Rhinolophus ferrumequinum: one gene and its partner. The protein of the gene in region 1 interacts with the protein of each later gene in a biochemical or structural test. Links are inferred from orthologs where the notes say so. Each region holds a gene or a part of one and is shown in the gene's direction. Other genes may lie near its edges.

What was found. The genes of interacting proteins can lie anywhere in the genome.
Region 2: of the proteins of SERPINF2 (region 1) and ELANE, one has a biochemical effect on the other in vitro, tested with the Homo sapiens proteins (2 studies listed by BioGRID). The link is inferred for Rhinolophus ferrumequinum from reciprocal best matches to the Homo sapiens genes SERPINF2 and ELANE.

Annotation. Positions count from the first base shown.
Region 1 is NC_046304.1:16,210,219-16,218,229, reverse strand, and holds the start of SERPINF2 (alpha-2-antiplasmin), read left to right. Parts: upstream 1-4,931; 5' UTR 4,932-5,038; exon of another isoform or gene 5,039-5,085; intron 5,086-6,257; 5' UTR 6,258-6,261; coding exon 6,262-6,324; intron 6,325-6,477; coding exon 6,478-6,516; intron 6,517-6,635; coding exon 6,636-6,698; intron 6,699-6,987; coding exon 6,988-7,189; intron 7,190-7,651; coding exon 7,652-7,795; intron 7,796-7,936; coding exon 7,937-8,011. Other genes in the region: WDR81 (WD repeat-containing protein 81), read left to right, coding at 1-616, 1,276-1,421, 1,705-1,884, 2,919-3,239.
Region 2 is NC_046301.1:62,057,690-62,064,906, reverse strand, and holds ELANE (neutrophil elastase), read left to right. Parts: upstream 1-4,137; 5' UTR 4,138-4,226; coding exon 4,227-4,293; intron 4,294-4,702; coding exon 4,703-4,859; intron 4,860-5,163; coding exon 5,164-5,305; intron 5,306-6,021; coding exon 6,022-6,252; intron 6,253-6,413; coding exon 6,414-6,614; 3' UTR 6,615-6,716; downstream 6,717-7,217. Other genes in the region: PRTN3 (myeloblastin), read left to right, coding at 1-169, 758-982. UniProt on the Homo sapiens protein: Serine protease that modifies the functions of natural killer cells, monocytes and granulocytes. Inhibits C5a-dependent neutrophil enzyme release and chemotaxis. Promotes cleavage of GSDMB, thereby inhibiting pyroptosis. Promotes blood coagulation.

The DNA of each region.
Region 1 (8,011 bases):
AGCCCGAGCAGTCGCAACCCTGCCAGCGTGGAGCCCACCATGCCAAGCACAGGCCCTGAGTCAGACCCCCAGGGTGGGGGCTGCCCTCAGGATGACAGCCACTCGGGGACCTTTGGGAGTGTCTTGGTCGGGAACCGCATCCAGATCCCCGATGACTCTCAGCCTGAGAGCCCCGGCCCGCTGGGCCCCATTTCTGGGGTGGGCAATGGGGGCCTTGGCAGTGAGAGCGAGGACAATGCGCTGAAGCGGGAGCTGCCACGGAGCGCCCACGGGCTGAGCGGGAACTGGCTGGCGTACTGGCAGTACGAGATTGGCGTGAGCCAGCAGGACGCCCACTTTCACTTCCACCAAATCCGCCTGCAAAGCTTCCCGGGCCACTCGGGGGCCGTCAAGTGTGTGGCGCCCCTGAGCAGTGAGGACTTCTTCCTGAGTGGCAGCAAGGACCGCACCGTGCGCCTCTGGCCGCTCTACAACTCTGGGGACGGCACCAGCGAGATGGCCCCACGCCTCATCTACGCCCAGCACCGCAAGAGCGTCTTCTTTGTGGGCCAGCTGGAGGCCCCGCAGTGCGTAGTGAGCTGTGACGGGGCTGTGCACGTGTGGGACCCCTTCACAGGTGAGCGGGCCCAGGTGAGGCCTGTGTGTGACTGCCATCCTCTACCCCACCGGGCCTCTGGGAATGGGGCTCAAGGGTGGGGTGGTTGGGGTATCACGGTGTGTGGTTTGGGGTGACCCAGGGAGGCCACACAGAGGAGCAGTTAGAACTTGGAATCCATTAGACCTTGAGTTTGAATTGTCTCTGCCACCTTTACTTGATGAATGACTTTGAGCAAGTCCCGTCACTGCTGGAAGCGTCAGTTTGCCCTCCTATAAAATGGGAATCAGAGCAACTGGTTTAGGAATTAATGCATGTAGGGGCTTGTTTTAACAGGTGGCATGCAGTACATGTTTGGTAAATTGTTGCTCCATTAGTTTTTGCCATTATTGGAGGGAGAAATAAAGCTGAAAAGGGGGAGGGGATAGAGTAGCACTGAGGTAGACAGAGGGAGATAGAATTCAGTCAGAGGGTGCTGTGTGAAGAGAGGAGGTTGCTTTGGGGACAGGAACCTGGCCTGGCCATGGAAGCAGGAAGGGGGGAGGGTCAAGAAACATCAAGCATTTTCTGCGATTCTCTGGGATATGGGAGGCAGATATTGGGTAGGTCGGGGATATGAAGAGTCGGGGCTCTTCCGTCAGCTGCTGGGACCTCAGATCCATTGCACCTTCTCTTCTCAGGGAAGACCCTTCGCACGGTGGAGCCATCGGACAGCCGGGTGCCCCTGACCGCCGTGGCTGTCATGCCTGCCCCCCACACCAGCATCACCATGGCCAGCTCCGACTCGACCTTGCGCTTTGTGGACTGCAGGAAGCCCGGACTGCAGGTCAGGGGAGTCTGGTCCCCTGAGTCCTGGCCTAAGTGCCTGGCAGTGGGGAGGGACCTCAAAGGGAGAAGGCCAGGGCGTTGTTTCTTTCTGGAGACAGCTCACCCACAGCAGCAAACCCTGGGGGATGGGACTCTGGCCTGTGAAGGGAGGCGCTCTCCCCTCGATGGGGGACAGAGGCTCAGGCCTTCCAGCTGTGGGGACCTGGGGGCTGAGCAGGACCTCAGAGAGAAGCGGGTTGCAGCCGGTGGTGGCATCTCACTTGGTCTCCCTCTGCCTGCAGCATGAGTTCCGCCTGGGCGGAGGGCTGAACCCTGGGCTGGTCCGCTCCCTGGCTGTTAGCCCCAGTGGCCGCAGTGTCGTGGCTGGCTTCTCCTCGGGTTTCATGGTGCTCTTGGACACCCGTACAGGCCTGGTTCTGCGTGGCTGGCCTGCCCATGAAGGGGACATCCTGCAGATCAAGGTAACAGACCGGATTCCCTTCCCCTCCCCACTGCTCTGGGCTCCCACCTCTGGACAGGCTTAAGCTGATCTCCCTGACACCTGCCCAAGGGCAAGTGTAAGGGAGGGCCAGGAACCAGGTGCACTGTGGGCACTTGGCAGGAGCAAGGCCATGGGGGCGTGCCCCAGGGGGCCGAGCTGACCCTGCTACTCCCTGGAGATGTTCTAATGAGTAACCCTTGTCCATATTTGTCTTGCTTGGAGGATCAGGGGTCGGGTCCTGTCCGTGACCCAATTCAGGTTAAATAAAGCTCGGCTGGGAGGATGTTTACTGCCCCCAGACCACTGAGCAGAGTCCATACCCCCTGCTGGGCTGCCCTGGTGGGGGCAGGGACAGACTGGGCATGGGCATCCTCCCGCTTCCCCCCTACCCCCTCCTTTCTTAATCACAGACCTCAGGGAGGCATAGGAGGTGAGACACAGGGCTACTTGTGGGATAATTTTTCCAGGCAACTGGGACTCCTTCCCCATCCTAAGTGGAGGCCAGGGGACGTGCACTGCCACTGCGGGGGGCAGGCTGCCTGGACTCCCTCCGGGACTCCCCAGAAGCCCCTGGGCTCCAGGTGCCTCTCATTTCTGACTTTCCAATCCTGACTATTCAGGAGGTCCCTGGGGTCAGCCTGGGTATTAATCCTGGCTCTGCCACTTACTGCCTCTGTGACTTTGGTATGATTTACTTAACTTTTCTGAGCCTTAGTTTTTCTCTGTAAAATGGGAACACTGACAGCATCTACCTCATAGAGTTGTTACAAAGATGAAAAGGTAACGTGGTAACGTGGCCTGTCTAACACAAGGCCTGAATATAGCAAGTATTCCAACTATAGTGAGTGACACATTGATATAGTCATATTAACTAACATTAACATAGTGTGAGAGGGTGGTAGCTTGTCCACTGCTCACGATGCCGGTCTTTCTGGGAGGAAACAGGAAGACCCTGAGGCTTGGTGGGCACCCGGGAGGCCCAGGCCCTGCTGAGGCTCTCCTCTCCCTGAGCAGGCGGTGGAAGGCAGCATCCTGGTCAGCTCCTCCTCTGACCACTCTTTGACCGTCTGGAAGGAGCTGGAACAGAAACCCACACACCATTACAAGTCGGCGTCCGACCCTATTCACACCTTCGACCTGTATGGCAGCGAGGTGGTCACCGGAACCGTGGCCAACAAGATTGGCGTCTGCTCCCTGCTTGAGCCGCCCTCCCAGGCCACCACCAAGCTCAGCTCCGAGAACTTCCGTGGCACACTCACCAGCCTGGCCTTGCTGCCTACCAAACGCCACCTCCTGCTGGGCTCAGACAATGGAGTCATCCGCCTCCTGGCATAGGCTGAGGCGGGAGCTGGCCAGGCCCTGTTGGGCAGACACCCTCCGGTCGTCCACCCCCCTACCCTTGTTTCCCCACTGACCCCCTTCATGCAAGCCTCTCACCCCATGCCCTGTGTACCCACCCACATGGCCTGCCAGCTACGGCAGGGTAGGGATCTGGGTTCCTGACCCCCAGAGCCACCGAGGCTGATCTCATTCACGGCTTGGGGAGGTGCTGCTCCTAGCCAGCAGGGAGCAAGAGGAGGAGCTGGGAAAGCATCGCAGCGCTCTCTTCTCCCCAGGTCTGCCCTCTGGATCCACATGGGGACAGGGAGGCTTGGGAAGGGGAGGGGAGACTGGCCCTGCCCACCCAGTCTCTAGCCAAGCCCTCCCCCTTGCTGGGCTCTCTCTATCCTTGTCCCCCAAGGACAGGGGCACTTCCCCAGTCCAGGACCCCATGGTGCTTGGGCTCTAGCCTCTGAGGAGGGCTGGCCATGGTCCAGGAGTTAAGGGCCTTGGGCTGAGGTTTAAGTGTCCACCCAGCCAGGTCCTGTCCAGTGTGGGACCAGTAGGACAAAAAAGAGGTCAGGACCAGGGGAGGGACGATGGACTAGGCTAGCTGGTGCCTGGCAGGAGTGACCCAGCCTTGCCTGCCCACCCCTAACCACAGTGTTTGTGCCTTGAGCCGAGGAGGCAGCCCATGGGCCCAGAACTCCGGCGAGCATGGGGAGGGGAAATCCAAGACCCTGAGAGAAGGGGTGAGAAGAATTCCATCTCTGCATCTCAGATATCTCCCAAGGGACAGGAAGACCCTGCCGTCCCCAGGTCCTCACATTCTGGAGCAGAGATGAGGTCTGGGACTGGGCCCCTGCTGTCTCCTCACTATTTGCAATAGATGTAAATATGACCAATAAATCCTTTGGAAGAGCCATGGAACTGAGTGAGGCTTCTCTTGATGGTGGTGTCAGGTGGGGAAAAGTTGAGATCCTGCAGCTTGCAGGGCAATGAGGAGAGGGTGAGGATAGGGCAGGAGCTGGGGAGGCAGCCTGATCATTGCTCTTCAGGCAGCACAGGGACAGGGCTTCTCATTCGTGTAGCCCCAAGCCAGTTTCCAGAACCTTCATCCTTGGGGAGGGTAAGGAGACATTGCTCCTGGTGAGGTAGGAAGCTGAGAGAGGCTGTGTCCCTCAGCGTCTCTCCCCACCCCCTGCCTTCTGGACTCAGGCTGAAGGCAGCCAACCAGGATACGCGACATGTAAGGCTTGGTATGGGCATCCTACCCTGGGTTCCCTACATAGGCTCCTATCTATAGCTTCCCCTTCCCTCCCCTCAGGAGGGGGAAGCAGTTGTGGGGGAGAGGAAAGGACATTGGAAATGGGAACCTGGATGTAACTCTGAGTCCAGCTCTGTATCCTTGGGCGGATCACATAGCCTCTCTGAGCCTGACTAAAGCCGGGATAACCCCCCACCTCTGTCCTTCCTGGATCTGTTCTCCAGATGAGGACAGCCTCCTCCACTGTCTCCTGAACTTCCTTTCTTCAGGCTCAGGTGGGACCCAAATCCATGTGGCTCCAGGTGGCGGTCTCAGGATTAGATGCCCTGGTGGGAAACAGGCTTCCGGCCCCAATATCAATGTTTAACCGGATGTGCAGGTCAATATTTACCAGAGGAGAAAGCTGTCTGAACAGGGGTTGGCTGAGAGCAAAGGTCCTGGTGGGAGGGGAGGGCTCAGCTGGGTTGGCTGGAGCCCGGGCAGAGCGTGGGGAGCACCCAAGTGGGGCCAGAGGGACATTGTGTTCAGCAGAGAGGAGCCGGCAGAGGTAGGAGGGGAGGGGTGGCTCTGCCTGCTTCTTGAGCAGGCGAGAAGGTAGGAGCTGCCCACCTGGCTAAGGGGGTCTGGGCTGAGGGCCTGTTATTTCTCAGTCTCCTGGGGTGATGTGGGGCCAAGGTGGGGGGCCCAGGAAGAGTCTCTCTAGGACTTGAAAAACTGGAGGGATTTTCTTGACAGGAAGATTCAAAAGCCCAGGTTGGGTATCAGGGCCCTGGCAAAAGTCCCTTGTGTATGATGAGGGTCCAGCCAGGGGTGATAGAAGGATCCTCCAAAAAGACTGGCCCCGAGATGGCGGCTGGGTGATGTGAGACCTGCCTGAGGCTAAACCAAGACCTGCCCATCCCCTCCTGCCAGCCTGGCTTCCCGGAGCCAGCCTGGGGCAGAGTGTTTCCCATAAGTCCAAAGGTGGCTCTGGCCAAAGTCATTCATTAGGTGCTGCTGTTAGGTCAACAAGGTGGCTCTCCGCGCCACCCCACTACCCCTGCTGACACCTCAGGGCCTCACAGGCCCGTCTACCCTTGTTGGCATAGACGGGCCAGACCAGTCAGAAAAGGTGGGTCAGATGGATAGCAGGTTGGAGATGAGTTTTGGGGATGGAGCCCCAGGAAAGGGCAGGATTCTCAGAAGAGGGGCCTTGCACTAGGCTGACAACAGTCATGACTGAGTGCCAGGCATTGTACTGGGGCTCACAAAGACTATCTTATTTTGGTCCTCACAATGCCCGAGGGAGGAGGCCGGGACTTGTGCCATCATTTTACAAGATAAGGAGAAGCCCGGAGGGGTTAAGGGAGATGTCCAAGTTCCTCTGGCAAGAGTCAGAATCTGGATTCAAACCCAGGTCTGACTCACAATGCCAGTCCTTGAAGAATGAGGACTTTTTTTTGTTCTGATAATATTTTCCCCCTGTGAACCAAAACATTTTCAGTGTATGAAATGTGAAAAACCAGAAAACACAAAGAGGGGAAAAACAATTGAGGAGAGAAAATCCCACCCTTCAGAACTGAGAGCCACAGCTAATGTGTTTGGGCGGGTGTGTTGCAACTGGCATTGTCCCCTCAGCAGTGATGGCTCAGGACTGACAGCCAGGGATCAGGTGGGTGGAATTCCACGGTGGGTGTGGTGGCTTGGCCTCAGGTGGCCAGTCAGATAATTGGTGATAGTGTGTAGGGAGGGACGAGGTGGGCGCTGAGGCTTCCTGTCCCTCTCAGGAACATGGCGCTGCTCCGGGGGCTCCTGGTACTCAGCTTGTCCTGCCTGCAAGGCCCCTACTTGGTGGTGAGCCTGGGCGCTGGTCTGGGTCTGGGTGGGGAGGGAAGGTGGGCATGGGAGAGGCTAGAAGTCTGACGGGGAAGAAGAGGAGGGCTGGACGGTGGGAGGGTTTGGCTCTGAGGGGGGTCCCCCCTCCTCTCCTCATCCCTTTCTCAACAGTTCTCTCCAGCCAGTGCCATGGAACGCTGGGGCCAGCAGGTAATAGGGAGTGAGGGGACAGGATGCAGAGGAAGGCCCTGAGGGGCTTCACCTGTGGCTTCTGCAGGGTGGGGGACCTGTGGGAAGGTCTCTCTCCATCTGTTTTCTCCTATCTTCAGACGATGATTGGGCAGACCCAGGAGAAGCTGTCCCTACTTAGCTTCCTCAAGTTGGGCAACCAGGTACAACCAGGTGGGGCTGGGGAAGAGTGGGCGGGGCCCGAGGGAGGAGGTCCAATCAGCAGGGTGGAGAGAACTGGGGGGCGTGGTCATGAGGCTGAGGCCTGAAGGGAGAGGGTGAGAGGGACCAGAGGAAGGGATCCAGTCCCCAGGATGCCATTGCCTGTGTGACTTCTATCAGGACTGGGACAAAGGCCCTGCTGTCCCCAGCCACAAGGCTATGAAGGAGATATTCAGCACAGAACCTGGATCTGACCCCTGAACGCCACTGACCCCTGATATATCCCTGCAGGAGTCTGGTGGCCAAAGCGCCCTGCAGAAGGCCACAGGAGACTGCAGCAAGGCCCCAACTCCGGAGCAGACCCGCAGGCTGGCCCAGGCCCTGATGGCCTTCACCACAGATCTCTTCTCCCTGGTGGCCCAAAGGTCTACCAGCCCCAATCTCATCCTGTCGCCTCTGAGTGTGGCCCTGGCACTGTCTCACCTGGCACTAGGTACTGTGGCAGCACCCGTCCAGACCAGCAAAGCTGGGAGGCCAGTAGGAACTCACTACTCCGGAGTTACTCCTCCACTGGGGTCACTTGGACATTTGGTAAAAATGCCGGCCCACCTCCAGTCTCTGTGAATCAAATTCTCAGGGATTAGGCCTGGGGATCTGTTTCTGGTGACTTTTATGCAAGAGTTTGTTAGCTACAGTGTCTCCATTGGACTGGAGGGTGTCATTGTGGGAAACTGAGGTCCAGAAAGAGATCATTTTCGTGAGGTCACTGACACGGTCAGCAGCAGAGATGAAAGTAGAACTTGGGAGCCTGTCACTCAGGCCAGTTCAGTGGACTTGGGAGGACAGTGTGGGGTTCCACGGGCGTGCTCATAGTGGGTACTCAAGAGGGACTGGGTGGGCAGTAGGGGTGGGAAAGAATCTCAGCCTGGGCCACAGCTCGTGTGGTCCCCTCCAGGTGCTCAGAACCAAACGCTGCAGAGGTTGCAGCAGGCGCTGCATGCAGACTCGGGGCCCTGCCTCCCCCACCTGCTGAGCCACCTCTGCCAAGACCTGGACCCTGGGGCATTCCGATTGGCTGCCAGAATGTACCTGCAGAAAGGTAGGTGCTGGTGGCAGGGAGCTCCATCGGTAGTGCCCTGGGGTGAATGGGGTGAGGGAGGTGGGCTTGGCCTCAGGTAGCCAGTTGGAATCATTGCTAGCTGTGGAGCCCTGAGAACAGTTTGTGTTCGCTTCTGTGTAGGATTTCCCATCAAAGAGGACTTCCTGAAACAATCAGAACAGCTCTTTGGTGCAAAGCCCATGAACCTGATGGGAA
Region 2 (7,217 bases), on another chromosome or scaffold:
GCAGCTGCCCCACGGCACTCAGTGCCTGGCCATGGGCTGGGGCAGGCTGGGCACCCGTGCGCCGTTGCCCCACGTCCTGCAGGAGCTCAATGTCACCGTGGTCACCTTCCTGTGCCGGCCACATAATGTGTGCACCTTTGTTCCCCGTCGCAAAGCTGGCATCTGCTTCGTATGTATCCGCTCAGCTCCCAGTGCCCCACACCGCGTTTGGATGGCTTGAGGGACCTCCCTAGAGGCTGGAGCTGCCCTGGAGCAGAGGAGGCTCCAGCGGCCACCCAGGGGAAGGAGGGTGGGTGGTAGGCTGCAGTTCGAATCCACTTCCTCTTCACTGAGCAGCTGCAGGCTGGGCCTCAGTCTCCCCATCTGGAAGGAGGGTACACCCATTGTGAGGGTTCAGAGGATGATCCATGGAACAGCCTCAGCTCCCACAGGCACAGAGGGGGCCGCTCAGGTCATACCTGGTGGCCCTCATAGGTCTGGGGACTGTCCCTTCCTGGGGCCCTCTCAGACCTGGGGAGGTGTGGGTGACTAGCCTAGTCTCAATCCAGGGATCCAGGTATACAGATGAGGCCACTCTGGAAGAAACGCCTGCTGTCTTCCAGAGTGGCCTCATCTCCCTCTCTCGTCCACGTGTCCTAAAGAAAATTTTGGACTGGAAACATTTTACCCGTAAATGGCGTTAGGTCGTCTTCAGCCACCCTTTCCCTGACGTAGCCAAGTCCTGGGTGACTGAGTGACCTGTCCCCACACTTCACAGGGGGACTCAGGCGGCCCCTTGATCTGCGACAGCGTCATCCAGGCCGTGGACTCCTTCTTGATCCGGGAGTGCGCTACCCGCCAGTACCCCGACTTCTTCGCTCGAGTGTCCCTCTACGTGGACTGGATTCAATCCGTGTTGAGAAGCGCAGGGGGCCGAGGACAGCCCCCGAGCCTCCCCTTCCAGACTGATGCCCCAGGGCTGAGGCCAGACAGCAAGCCCTAACAGGACAGGGAGGGGGCCGGTGCTCAGCCCATGGTGACATCAATAAAACTTGAAACCCCCCTCTGGCTCGTGTCTGTCGCGAATGTGGGAGAGTGTCCCCAGCATGTGAGTCCCCAGACCCCAGACTCGGGATGGGGATTTGGAGCCAAGGCCTGGAGGTCCGTGGAGGGCTCAGGTCACAGTGCATTCTCCCCACCCTCCCATGCCCACAGACATGGGATCTAATCCAACCCCGCTGCTATGGCCCTGTGCAAGCTGCTGTCCATCTCTGTGGCCCAGTTTCATTGTCTGGAAAAGGGAGTCACCCCAGACATTTCCCAGAACTGTCCACGGAGCTTCACCCTGACCCTCAAGGCTGGGGGGTGTCATTTCCAGCTCTGTGTCTCCAGCTGGGGGTGTGTGGTGAGGCTGCTGGAAGACCAGGCTGTGGTAACAGAGAATGCCTGGGGCCTGTGGGGCTCCTCCCCGGTCAGAGGCAGGCAGAGCAGCCATTAGGGAGGCTTCCTGGAGGAGGCGGCAATGACTGAGGTGACTGCCAATGCACAAACAGGAACAGGAGGGGAAGGGCCCCCAGACAGGGGCATAGCGAGGGCAGAGGGACTGCAAGGCTGCACTGCAGCTGGAATGGAGCAAGGCAAGGTGGTGGGGGAGGAGAGTTCAGAGAGGTGGTGGGAATAGAGGATGCCAGACCACAGATATGAACTGGGGTAAGCCTAGAGGAGAGGCCTGAGGCAGGGAGCGGTAGAGGTCATTGGCCAGTGGGCAAATGGCCATGGGAATGAGGCTCAGAGAGAGGGGCCAAACTGCTCATGGGACACACTGGAATTGGAAGGCGGATCTTTCGTTATTGATTTACTCTGCCACCACCTGGTGGCAGCGTACAAAATACAAGCAAGAACGAGAATTCCCAGGCCTGCCCAGTTCTGCAACTCTTTTATACCTCAGTTACCACCCCAGTGTAGGTGCTATGACTGGTTTACACCAGCAGCACCAGGAGAAAATGTGTGCGGAGACAGGGGACCTGGATGAATCCTGGGAAATATAAGCTAATGAGTGTCAGGGGAATTCCCTGCTGGGAATTCCCTGCATCTCCCAGGGGCCCAAGGCGGGGAAGCGGTTTCTATAAAAAGCCCACAGTGTTGGGGGTAGAAGAGTTTTGCTAGAGGGAATGCTGGAAACAGAAAGACCAACAAAAACACCGCCAGGAGGGTTCTCTGGGGCTGATGTGTGTGAAAGATGACCCAGGGAAGCCCTACACAGCAGAGACCAGACCCAATAGTGGGAATTGGTGGGGTTTAGGGAGGTGTTGGGTGGATTTGCCAGAGGTTAGCTGAGCTGTTGAAAGAAGCCCATGGGAATAACAAGCAGGATGATCAGCACACACTTGGAAGGCCTCAGGGTGAAAGGGATTCCTTGAGGGGAGGGTGTGGGGGTAGTCTCTGCTGCTGGTGACCACAGCTGTACGGGGTTGCTTCCTATAGCTCAGGGATCCCCAGGCCTCCAGCAGTGGGGAAAGGCACTCAAATCATTGTTTTCTTACTGGGCTGTAACTGAGACCTAAAAATGCGCGCGTCTTACTTGTAAGCTCCATGACTCATTATAAGGGTGTCGCCAGTGTCGCCACTACTCTGATTGCAAATTAGAAGCCCAGTGTTCGCATCCTAGCCTATACCCACCAGACAATCACCATCCTGCCCTCCTGGAGGTGGTTAATGGCTAACAAACCCTCCAGGATATCACTTTCTTATCCAAAATCTTTACAAATGTTCATTCATTTAATCCTTGGGACAGCCTATGTGATGGAGCCTATTATTATAACTTTCCTTTTACAGAAAAGGAAACTGAGGCACAGAAGAGTTAAGTCAGTGGCCTGAAGTTATGTAGTGGGCAAGTGGCCACACCAGGATATAAGCTTGACCACCATGAGATGTGGGAACATAGTATACAGGTGGTGATCGATAAATGCAGCTTTGGTTAAATGGGGTCTTTCTGCCTGAGCCACTCTTCCCCCAAAGACATGGCTTCCTCCACTCTCCCCCATTCCAGGACTGGAAACAGGACTGTGTATCCAGCAGGTGCTTACTCAGTGCTCTATGATAACTTTAATGCAATTGGGTGGGAGCCCTGCCAAGCAGGGAGCGGGGTAGGACTGGTTGATACGGGAGGAATGAAGGGCAGACATGGAGTGCTTGCTGTGCGCCAGGGTCTGGGAGCGCAGTGCTGTCATCCTTACTTGAGAGAGAAGGGAGTTTGTTTGCTCGTGGCCATGCATCGGGGTCGACCCAGGGACGAACAGGATTCCAGCTCTGGTTCCGGGCACCCCTGGTGCTCCCGCCTGCCTCTTCCTGCCGATGGATCCGTTGTTTCCCTCCCCTGAACCCTGCTCCGGGCCAGGAGAACGTTGCTTCTTGCGACAGCCTTGGCTATGGCCGTTGCAGCTGGAGCATCCTGGGGGAGGTGGGAAGAGGAACCAGGCCATGGGGTGGGGGTTGGGCCTTGTTGTTCGGATTGAATTCTTCCACTGGCCCAGCAGAAGCTCTCCAACTTCAGGAGGGAAGGGAGTTCAGCAAAACTCAGAGAGAAGGGGTTCTTTCCCAGAACGTCTGTTGGCAGCCAGAGACTGATGTGGCCCTGGGTGGGAGGGAGTCCCTGTTGTGGGCAACAATCAAAGAGAGGTTGGCAGGCCAAGCCCCAAGAGGAAGGTGGAGCAAATCACCCTCCAGCTGGAAACTGTGGGGCCTGGGTTCAAGCCTAGCTTACCCACCGTGTCACTGTGTAGGAACTCATGGGGGAACACCTCGCTGTGCCTCAGTTTCCTCTTCTCAAGTGGGACCCAGCAGTCCTCCATCACCCCTGTGCCCTGGGTAAACTAAGGCAAGTGGGGAAACCAGCCAACGCCCTTTGGGCCTAGGCTTGCCAGATTTAGCAAAAATATAAGACATCCAGTTAAACTTGAATGCTAGGTAAACAATGACTAAGTTCCTAAATAAGTATAATATTTGGGACACACACTAAAAAACATTGTTTATCTGATTTCAAATTTAATTGTGTGTCCTGAATTTTATCTGGAGCCAACCCAGGCCCCTCACGCCGCCCCCTCCCCCCACCCCCACTGTCTTCCCATCATCGCCCTTGTCCTGGAGGTGGGGAAAGGAAGTGGGGCAATGCAACGGTCCCAGGCATCAAGCCATAAGAAGGCCCGGTGGGCACGGGGGTGCACAGACATCAAAGCCCCCGCCCGACCATGACCCAAAGCTGCAGACCGTCCGGTCCTACCTTCACCTCCATCCTGCTGACCATGCTGCTGGGCGGTGAGTGGGGCCACATGTCTGTCCATCTCTCTCTCGGCCTCCATTCCTGCCTCTCCACTGTGCCCTAAACCTGCGTGGCCTCTTCACCCTCATGGGGAGGTGATGGCTGGGATGGGGAGACCTGTTTCCAGAGAAAGAGACCGAGGTCCAGAGTGGTGAAGAGCCCAGAGTTTGAACTGGGGCATCACTGGGCATGCTCTGGGGACTGCAAAGCCAAATTAAATCCAGATCTAGCTGTGCCCTGGCAGGGGGCAGTAGGAGGCCCCCTATCTCTCTGTGCCTCAGTTTCCTCATCTGGCACATGAAGAGCCCTGATCTGTGGGTTCCTGGTGAGAGTTCAAGGGCTGACTGGCTCAGCAGGTGGGGCTCCTGCGTGGCACTCACTACCCCCGCCTCCACGTATCCCCAGGTCCCGCGCTAGCCTCTGAGATCGTGGGTGGTCGGCAGGCCCAGCCCCACGCATGGCCCTTCATGGTGTCTCTGCAGCGGCAAGGAGGCCACTTCTGCGGTGGCACCCTGGTGGCCCCGAACTTTGTCATGTCGGCCGCGCACTGTGTGAACGGCATGTGAGTGATCGCCTTCCCTGCCCTCGCCACCCCGTGTGTCTTCCCTTCTCAGACCCTCTGTTTCCACATCTGTCAAAGGGGGAGAGTGAGACCAGGGCCCAGGCTCCTCCAGGGGTCCCCCATGAACGCATCTCCCCTACCAGGCCCAAGTGGGGGCGTTCAGCCAATGAGCCCAAGCATCTGCCCAGGGTGGCGATGCTACCCCTGGGTGTAGAGCCGGGCTTGGCTGAGCTCTGGAGTCTCTCAGCTACCCCCAACGCCTGGGGCCACCTCGAATCACCTCCTGCACCCATTTTGCCTATAGAAACTTCCAGAGGGTGCGGGCGGTGCTGGGGGCACACAACCTGGGGCAGCGTGAGCCCACCCAACAGTCGTTTGCCATCCAGCAAGTCTTTGAAAATGGCTTCGACCCCGAGAGGCTGCTGAACGACATCGTGATTCTGAAGGTGCAAGGCCAGTGGGGTGGGAAGTGATGCCCAGGCAGGGGACCGGCAGGTGCAAAGGCCCAGGGCCAAAGGCTTGGAAAGGGCAGAGACAGAGCGGAAACACTGGAGGTCACATGCGGCTCTAACTTGATAGTTCGTCTCTGTGCCTCAGTTTCCACTCATGTAACCTGGGGAAACAAGCCCCTCCTGGCAAAGCTGTTGAGAGAGTGAACGAGAAGACACAGAGAGATCTAGACACAGAGAGATCTAGTTGTCAATCAACAAAATGTTATGATTATTTGTGTTTGATGGCCCTGTGCCCAGGGACTGTTCCTGCCTTTGTGAAATGGCAAAATTCCCCACATCTGGGCTGAAGGGAAACTGGAGGGAGAAACCCTCCCTTCCCCACTGCTGGCAGAGTTATGATTATTCTCTGGAATGTTTTAGAATACGGTTTCGTTGTCATTGGTGTTGCCCATAGCTTGTTATATTGAGTATGTATGTTTACTCCTCTCAATACACATCCAGGGACGCCCTGAGCCACTGTTGTTGTTCCTATTTCAGAGATGGGAAAACTGAGACTGAGGGTGGGGAGCATCTCACTGGGTGGGCAGCCTACTCCGTAAAATCCCAGAACCATGGTGGGACCTTATGTGGGGAAATTGAGGCCCAGAAAGGGGAGGGCCGGTGCCCACCTCCCTGTGTGACTCTCCTGTCCTCTGCCCTGCCCACTACAGCTCAATGGGTCAGCCACCATCAATGCCAATGTGCAGGTGGCCCAGCTGCCCGATCAGGACCAAGGCGTGGGCAATGGGGTGCAGTGCCTAGCCATGGGCTGGGGCCGGTTGGGCACCAACCGGCCACCACCCAGAGTCCTGCAGGAGCTCAACGTGACCGTGGTAACATCCCTCTGCCGCCCCACAAATGTGTGCACAATGGTGCCTCGCCGGCGGGCAGGCATCTGCTTCGTAAGTACCCGCATCCCCTCACCACTCCACCCTCACTCCTGCCCAGACTGCAGCAAGTGGAACTGCAGCCAGACCCTGGGAAAGACTTCCCAACTCTGAAGGGCAGTGGGTGGGGAGCCCCGGAAGCCCAGCCTCCCCACCTAGTCTGGCTCCACACACAGGGGGACTCCGGTGGGCCTCTTGTCTGCAACGGGCTGATCCATGGGATTGACTCCTTCATCCGGGGAAGCTGTGGCTCCGGCTTGTACCCAGACGCCTTTGCCCCCGTCGCGCAGTTTGCCGACTGGATCAACTCCATCATTCGCAGCCCCGGTGACCAGCCCCATCTCCACCCCAGGGACCCTGCAAGCAGGATCCGCTAGAAGGGGCTGGCCCTGTCACCCCACCTCACCTGCCCCTGGCTGGGGCCTTCCCACGCTCCGTTATGCAGCATCTGGCACAATAAAAACCCTCTGTTTTGTAGACTGTGTCTTGGTGTTGGTTGTGTAATTGGGCGTTGAAAGCAGTCATGAGAGCATCTTGGGAATCTCACGAGTATGAGCATTGGAGTAAGTTCCTTCTCCACCCTCCACAAAGAATGCCAGTTGCCATTTCTGGTTTCCCTCATGTAAAACCGGGTTTTGTGTGATTAAATTAGCATTGCACGTGGTGATGACACAAAGCACTGTAGCAGGTGTTCGTTGAGTGCTTACCAGGTGCAGGAATCATTCTCAGTCTTTGCAAGTGTTCGCTCATCCAGCCCTCTGAGGCTCCAGCCCTTGTGGCCGGTCCCGTCAGTGCCCTGTTTTACAGAGCAAGAGAGGTGAAGCCCTGTTCGGGAGCCTGGCTTTGAGTCCAAGCTCTAACTTTGGGCAACTTGCTCACTGTCTCTGAGCCTCCGTTTCCCTGCGGGGAGGAGTGAGGTGCTGTATGGTAAGGGGGGTTGGGGTCTCATTGGGTGACACAGACGAGCCCTCCTTCACCTC